2 linked regions of the Oryzias latipes genome follow. The protein of the gene in region 2 purifies or fractionates together with the protein of the main gene of each other region. This does not show direct contact. Links are inferred from orthologs where the notes say so. Each region holds a gene or a part of one and is shown on either strand. Other genes may lie near its edges. The genes, in order: llgl2 and pard6b.

What was found.
Region 1: the proteins of pard6b (region 2) and llgl2 purify together in Homo sapiens (affinity purification with mass spectrometry; 7 studies listed by BioGRID and IntAct, counting the BioPlex papers as one, with this or other methods). This does not show direct contact. The link is inferred for Oryzias latipes from reciprocal best matches to the Homo sapiens genes PARD6B and LLGL2.

What each region holds. Positions count from the first base shown.
Region 1 is NC_019877.2:17,343,055-17,346,878, forward strand, and holds part of llgl2 (lethal(2) giant larvae protein homolog 2), read right to left. Parts: coding exon 3,795-3,824; intron 2,526-3,794; coding exon 2,421-2,525; intron 170-2,420; coding exon 74-169; intron 6-73; coding exon 1-5. UniProt on the Homo sapiens protein: Part of a complex with GPSM2/LGN, PRKCI/aPKC and PARD6B/Par-6, which may ensure the correct organization and orientation of bipolar spindles for normal cell division.
Region 2 is NC_019865.2:4,496,959-4,500,815, forward strand, and holds the end of pard6b (partitioning defective 6 homolog beta), read right to left. Parts: coding exon 2,987-3,857; 3' UTR 795-2,986; downstream 1-794. Other genes in the region: arfgef2 (brefeldin A-inhibited guanine nucleotide-exchange protein 2), read right to left, coding at 168-330. UniProt on the Homo sapiens protein: Adapter protein involved in asymmetrical cell division and cell polarization processes. Probably involved in formation of epithelial tight junctions.

The sequences.
Region 1 (3,824 bases), on a different chromosome or scaffold from region 2:
TGACCCTTTTAAGAAAAAGGTGTTCTAGCTCCTTCTCGGACTCAGGTAGGTTTACGTTGTATGAGATCTTTACCTTCCAGCGAAAGCCCTCTTGACCCTGCAGCAAATCTACAACCTGAGCCTCCACCGTTTGCTCTGCAGCTTCATCATTCAGCTCCAGAACCATGATCTGCAACAAAAGACCATTAATCTCACTTCAGGGCCATCCTCCTAATCATTATTCATGTGAATCCACAACTGTGACCTCAGTTATGGATGTTGGTTTCTCAGATCAGTCGTGCAGGTTTTCAACTGTTACTGGTCTTGTCACACAGAAACTTCCAAAGATAATTGTTAGAAGGCGTTGTCTCCACCCTGAAGTGGCTGCGAACTTCAACTCACATTTGGAACACAACCAACCAAATACTCTACTAAGTTCATCTGTTGATTCATCTGTCCAAAATTTCAATAACAAACTTAGAGTTTTGCCTTGATTGATGCTACAAAGCTTCTGAAAGTGATTTCCCAATTTAAAACTAAAACCTGTTCTCTTGATCCTCTCCTCACCTCACTTTTTAAGTCAGTGTGTTCGTCCTGTGAGGAGGAGCTCGTGAATATCGTTAACTACTCTCTCCAGACTGGGATCTTCCCCACGTCCTTAAAGACTGCTATGGTGAGATCCACCCTGAAGAAGAGCGGTTTAGATGTTTCAAATCTAGTCAATTACTGACCAGTGTCAAACCTGCCATTTTTAAGTAAAATGCTAGGAAAACTCGTTTTTATTCAGCTAAATGATTTTAATAATAAAAATAATATTTGATGAAAATTTCAGTCTGGTTTTAGACCACATCACTCCACAGAAACGGCGCTGGTTAAGGTTAGGAATGATCCCAGGTCCAACACTGACAGAAAGAAAACATCAGTTTTAGTATTGCTGGACCTGAGTGCAGCCTTCGACACAGTTGATTACTCAGTTCTTTTAAACAGACTCCATGACGTGGTTGGAAACACTGGAACAGTTCTCAGATTTTAATGTCAGAGTAAATGATGTGTCATCTGGGAGGCACGGACTGACATGTGATGTGCCACAAGGTTCATTCCTTGGCCCTACACTTTTTAACCTTTATTATATGCTTTCGCTTGGAAATGTCATCATGAGATATCGCATAAACATTCATAGTTGTGCTGATGGCAACCAGTTATATGTGGCTGTGTCTCCTGATGACCTGGGACCCATTGATTATCTTTTAAGTTGTGTTTTAGATATTGAAACATGGATTGGAGAGAACTATTAAAGCTCAATCAAGACAAAAGAGACATTTTAATTGTTGGTCCTGAGGCTGAGAGAGAAAGGGTCCAATCCTACTTATCAACTTTTATCTGAATGTGTGCAGTAAAGTCAGAATCCTCTGTGTGGTTTTAAATGCAGATCTTACCTCTGAAGCACACACAAACCAATTTACAAAGACTGCCTTTTATCATCTTAGAAATATTGCCTGAGTGAGACCCTCTCTGTCCAAAGCCAGTGCTGAAATATTAATCCATGCTTTTATAACAACTAGAATAGATTTTTGAAATGCTCTTCTTTTTGGTATTAATAAAAATACTATCAATCAGCTGCAGCTAGTACAAAACTCGGCTGCACGCCTTCTAACTAGAACCAAAAAGAAGGAGAGCATCGTACCGATTTTGAAATCTTTGCACTGGCTCCCAGTCAGCTTTAGGATAAATTTAAAGGTTCTTCTATTAGTTTGCAAAGGTTTGACTGGCACTGGCCACGTATTTTTATTAGATCTAATTTAGGTTTATGAATCTCCCAGAGCCCTCATTTGCAGGTGGAGGTCTGCTGGTGGTCCCAAAGGTCAGAACCCACAAGAAGGCCTCATTTCAGCACTGTAGGCCTCGCCTGTGGAACAGCCTGCATGAGGACGCAAGGGCTTTATCCACTGTGGAGGGTTTCATCATATCATTTGTATCATATCGTCTCTGATTTTATGATTTTATGTTAAGCACTTTGGATGCTTCTGCTTAAAAAGTGCTATACAAATAATAAACTGTTTTTAAGAAAAAAGGCATCTTTTTTAGCAAAGTTTTTACTTGTCCACATTTGATTTCATAAAACCTTATTAACAATTAATTCGATTTATTTTGATTGTACTGGTGGGATGTGTATGTGTTGTTTTTTTAAATGTGTTTTTATATATTTATTTTATTAATAGTATTAGTAGTAGTAGTAGTAGTAGTAGTAGTAGTAGTAGTAGTAGTAGTAGTAGTATTTTTACTGTTTACTATTTTTTTATTTTACATATATCTATTTTATTATGGGAAGCACTTTAAGATGCTCAAGCAGGAAAAGTGCTATACAAAAAAAGTTGAATTGAATTGAAGTGAATAGTGAAGGCTGCAGTACAAAGTTCTGCAGCGCTGCATGTTGCAGTCACCTGTCCCGCGGTGCCAGCTACAGTCAGATAACCACTGTATTTACACAGGTGGATCTTTTGAATGCCGAGCCTTGGGTCATCGCTGTACGGGTCAAAACAGCCCACCTGGAAAGAGAAGGGAAGTTAATGCAGGAATTGAGCAGAACCAGCTTAGCAGGAAAAAAACTCTGCTGGAGGTTCCAATGACCAATATAAGCATCATGATCGTGAATTACAAAGTCTCAATACTTCCCAACTGATGGATTTATAGATATATTGAGAATGAACAAAATATTCTGATTCAAACTCGACAGTGAGCAAGCACACACAGCTGAGATTCACAATTTCACTCAGTGCAAGAAAAACTAGGGGAATGACAAACAAGCCGAAATCCACAGAGATCTACAGGTACAAGAATGGGACCGACATTGGCTCAGAGAACTCTGGAAACCCCAAACCAAATCTGAGCAGAAGACTCCCCCTCCTCCCTACTTTACGCTGAAGGACCTATGTCATTTAAATTCTTTAAACGTTCAGAGTAAAGTATATCCATATATTTGCTAATATTGGCACACTAAAGAACTAAAGAACTTTGGGACACTACAGAACAATTTTTTAATGAAACAAGTTATTTTTGTGAGCTAATTTTCCAACCAGGAAGTAGGATAGCTCAATCTCGGAGGCACCGCCTTTCGCTCCTTGTGGGTGCCCCCCCGTTTCCTAGAACCTGCCTAGACCCGGCCTCAGTAGTGTGTCTGCGTTTCGCCCATGAAAACAAAGAACATCCACACTTTTGCAAAGATGGATGTCCATGTGCATATTGTGCATATAAAACAGATCATTTTCCCAGCAGAGAAAGTGGGTGTGTGTTAGTCAGGGGGCGGGGCTGGCAGCATAGACTTTTTCTGGAAGGGAGCTGTTCCCCAATTTGTTAAGTTACTCATTATCGTGGATTGCAAGGGGCAGGGGCTCAGAGAGCAGGGTTTTAGAGGAATGCTCAGAGATGCGTGAATGGATCAAAATTCCATTTTGGGGTTGTTTTTTGTGATGAATTAACATAATAATACCTTTTATACTAATGAGCCAACTCAAACAAAAGTATAAACCCGTGAGTGTCACACTGCTCAAACTGGAAAAACATCATTGTTGCAGAAAATGTATCACTCAAGTATAACCAAAACAACTTCAAAGCATCTACATAACACATTTAACCACAGCTAATATTTTAAAACCACAAGAATTCCTCTCTGGTGACAGACAGGAGATTAGATTGTGAAGACAAAACAAAAATTCAGACCAGGAATTTCAGAATTTTCAGAGCCTTATTTTACCAACATTTCATTTAAGGTTGTGTAGGACCTTTAGGCTACTCTACTAGGTGAGAGCTGGACTCACCTTCCTGAAGGGAGGCCACTCTCCCTCTGT
Region 2 (3,857 bases):
CGTTTTTATGACAAAAAAGACAGAAAACACACCGATCAAGGCCAGTTCATGCGCAAAGCTAGCTAACTTACGGTTTCCAACAAACACAACGACTGAAACGCGCGAAAAGACACGGCACGCACGCGGGTTTCCCCAAAGCAGAGTCCCAAACCAAAACACCGACCTACCGAGCGCCACCTGACAGGCTTTCCGCAGCTGGCTGTGCTGGCTCCTCTTCACCTCCTTATCCGCGAGGATTTTCTCCAGCGCCCTGGACAGAAACATGCTCTTGGTTTTGTTGTTTGCCGCCTCAGACTGCGAGTGCTGCTGCGGGGGCCGCGGTTGCTGCATCGCTCGGTCTCTCAGGCCGTCATGTTCCGCCAGGACCCGCGGCTGCAGGTGACGAGGAAAGCTAACGAACGGCAGGCTCGCAGTGTCCAGCAGGGTTCCTGTCTCAGCTCAGCGTCGCCATGCTGGTTAGACGTCACGTCACGTGACATTCAGCTGTCTCGACAAAAACTCACACACTTGGAAATGAAAACTTTAGGCTTCACAGCTCGCCTAAAATAAACCATAGACTAGAATTCAAGTTAATTTATTTACATATTAAACAAATATAATTAATTTTTAACATTTTGAGTAGTAGACTGCACTTCCGGTTTCCATCAGTACTTCGTTTAGCCAGTAGATGGCGCCAAACTCCATGATGAGAATTAATTAAACGATATCTGCAGTTTCCCCCCACATTTCTTTAAAAAACAAACTACTTTGAACATCACAGCTACCCATAAATACAACCGACACTTAACAGCAAATATTGCTACATATTAGTTTATTTTTCCAGCTCCACCATCAGCAGTTACACCTGTTGGTTTGTGTGTGTACATCTTATTTATAGTGATAAAAACATATGCAGCATTGATATGAAAATACTGACATTCATTACAAATCTATATCATAGGATTCAACAGGCAAGCAAAAGTCATTGCTCCATTATTAAAACAAAAATCAGTCTAAAACATTTGTCTATGTTGAGGTTGCTAATCCCCCCCCCCCCCCCCCAATAGAATTCACAGTATCAAAAAATAGCAACAGATCTGATACCTTACAAAAGCCTTGAAATCACCCAGTTAAATGAGCGTAAATGGTTAAAGGAATCTATCGTACCTTGGGAAAAATCATGAATACACAGAAAAAGATTTTGTTGTAAAAAAAATAATAATAAAGCAGACAAAAAATAGTGGAATAAATAAAACTGTTGCTGTGGTTACAATTCCAGTGCCACGTGATGAAGTTAGATATGCAGTAAATAAATTACAGTGATTAGTAAAAGATTTAGATGAACGCTGGCAATGAAAGAAGACCCACCAGCTTTTGCTCCCAAATCCAAACAGGACAGTTCGCTTCAGCACTGAGCTTGTGGCTAAAGAGAGTGTCGTACGGATAATATGGATTCATCTATAGATGATTATTGTTTCCCTACAAACGCAGACATTCCTACCGTTAGCGTGTTTACACAACTCTGAATGTCTTTCAATGGAACTTAGCACTTCAGAGCAAAGGTGTGCTAAAAATAAACAGGTACAAACAAAACAAAGACACCTGCAAAGCAGTTGGCAGCAATGTGCAAAAGGTCTTCTGATAAATGAATCTGCTTCATGATTAAGAACTTAATGAACAGCCAATGACAGCAAAGCACAGGTGAGAGCAAACGGCTCCGCCTCACCTTTAACAAACATGGAAATGTTATTATTTTGTGTGGCTGGATGTGTGTTTGCTTCTCAGGGTGTGTTTTCAGGGACTCACTGCGTCAAATGACCAACTAAAATAAATATTAATGTGGGTGTTTTAATGCAAGTCATTCGCTCAGAATAGAGCTCTAACAGAAGCATGTTGGAGAATAAAACTTTCCATAGGCAAACAGGTATTGAAAACATTCAAGTCCCATGCAAATCGTGTTTTTGACACATTCTTGTGCCATTTTTCTAAGTATGGAGGACAAATATATAAAGAAAATTAAGCTTAACATTGCATTTCCAAGCCACGAGCTCCCTGCTCTGCTTAGCAATGGGGATGGAAAGGGGGGCGGTGTTGCTCTGCACCAAAAATCCTACCCACAACTCTGGGCTGAATTTCTAATGAACTCCTGCCGCTCTGCAGAAACTATGTCCTACAAAACGACACAATTTCTTAACCAATTTTGACTAAAAACTGCATAATTATACTTAAAGGACCAATGGGATCGCTTTGAACATAGATGACAAGATGATCGGAGTGGGACTTTAAATGCAGCATAAAATTAAATTAAGAAACACATTAAAACGTGGTCCAGAAAGAAATGAGGGCAGAAATGCTAAACATCGCGACAGGTTTTGTAGAAAATGTGCAGGAGTCACATTTGCAGACATTTGTCAGTTTCTGAATTTTAAAAATGCAATCTCAGTACCGGCTGAACTAAAGCTTTGTCATTAAAAAAAGCCATCTTAGTGGGTCCGTCCGTTTTACAGAGAGGTACAAAGATTCGTCTAAAAGCGTCGCAGAGCGAGCGTTTCCTAAAAGCAGTAGAACTGAAGATTTGGTTGACTGACATGTCACCGACTTAAGTAGATTTGAATAGAACTATTTATGCTGTAAAGCTACAGGTGGGGGGTGGGGTGGGGGGTTACCAGAGAAAAAAGGAGCTGGCTAACAAAAACAAAACTACTGAGAAAATAACTGCTTCTGGGGGCTAAACTAGACTTTTGTGTTTCTTCTTTCACATTTCTATGGAGCTGGGGGTGCGGAGGGGGTGTCACCTCTTTGGCACACATGCATGATCATTGGCATGTAGAGAAGTGTAGTGTTTTCCTTCACGTTTCTGCATGGAGGTGTCGGTGTGACGCTAGTGTTTCTCTGGAACAGTCGCTGCCTGACGGGGGCAAAGGGGGGTTTTATTTTCTGGTCTGTGATGCCTTACCCCCCCCCCCCTGAGTGTTTCCTTCCCAGGACAGTTCAGTCAGTGCTGAGGCTACAGCGTTATTACGGTGCCCTCCTCCTCCAGGCTCCGCCTGACCCTGTCTGGCGACGGCGTGGCTGAATTGGCGTCGGCGTGATTCAGCGATCCGCTGCTGTTGCTGGCGGGCAGAGTCCCGTTGGTGTGGATGGAGAAGGCGGAGGCGGAAGTGAAGGCGGTGCGGAGGTTGAGGTGTGGTTCGTAGCGAGGCATAGAGGGCATGCTGTATGTGGAGGAGGTGCGTCTGATGGGCTCGGCCTCGCCGCCAGCCTCGATCACCAGGTCTTCTTCGTCTTCGTCGCTTTCCAGCTCCCCAGCGGAGAAGTTCTGGATGATGTGTGAAGGCATGGAGGCCGTGGCGCCGTGCGTGGAGTAGCCGTAGCAGCTGGCGCCGCTGTCCGACGACCGCCCTGAACTACCAGATGCAGCCCCGCCCCCTCCGCTCCGAACGACATTGTTCCTCTGGTTGGCGGGCTTCACTGTAATGATGAGGTTGTGGCTGTTCGCGATCATCATGTCCGTCACCTGATCCAGAGATTTGCCGGCCACCTCGATGCCGTTCACCTCCAGGACCTCATCGTTTACCGCCAGCAGGCCGGTGCTCTCCGCCAGCCCGCCAGGAACCAGGCGGGAGATGAATATGGCCGGGACCTTCTCCAGACCCTGCGGAGTGACCCGCACGCTGGAGCCGTCGCGGATGTAGAAACCCAGCGGCTTCTCCTGGCCGTGCTTGTACAGGCGCACGCGTCTGTGCGTCTCCGGAAGGATGTCCACGTCGATGATGGACGACACCGGGCGGAAGTCTTTCGGGAGGCTGATGATCACCGGGTGCTTCTTCCTGGTGGCGTCCGGCCTCAGAAGAACCGCAGAAAGGACCGTGTTCTTC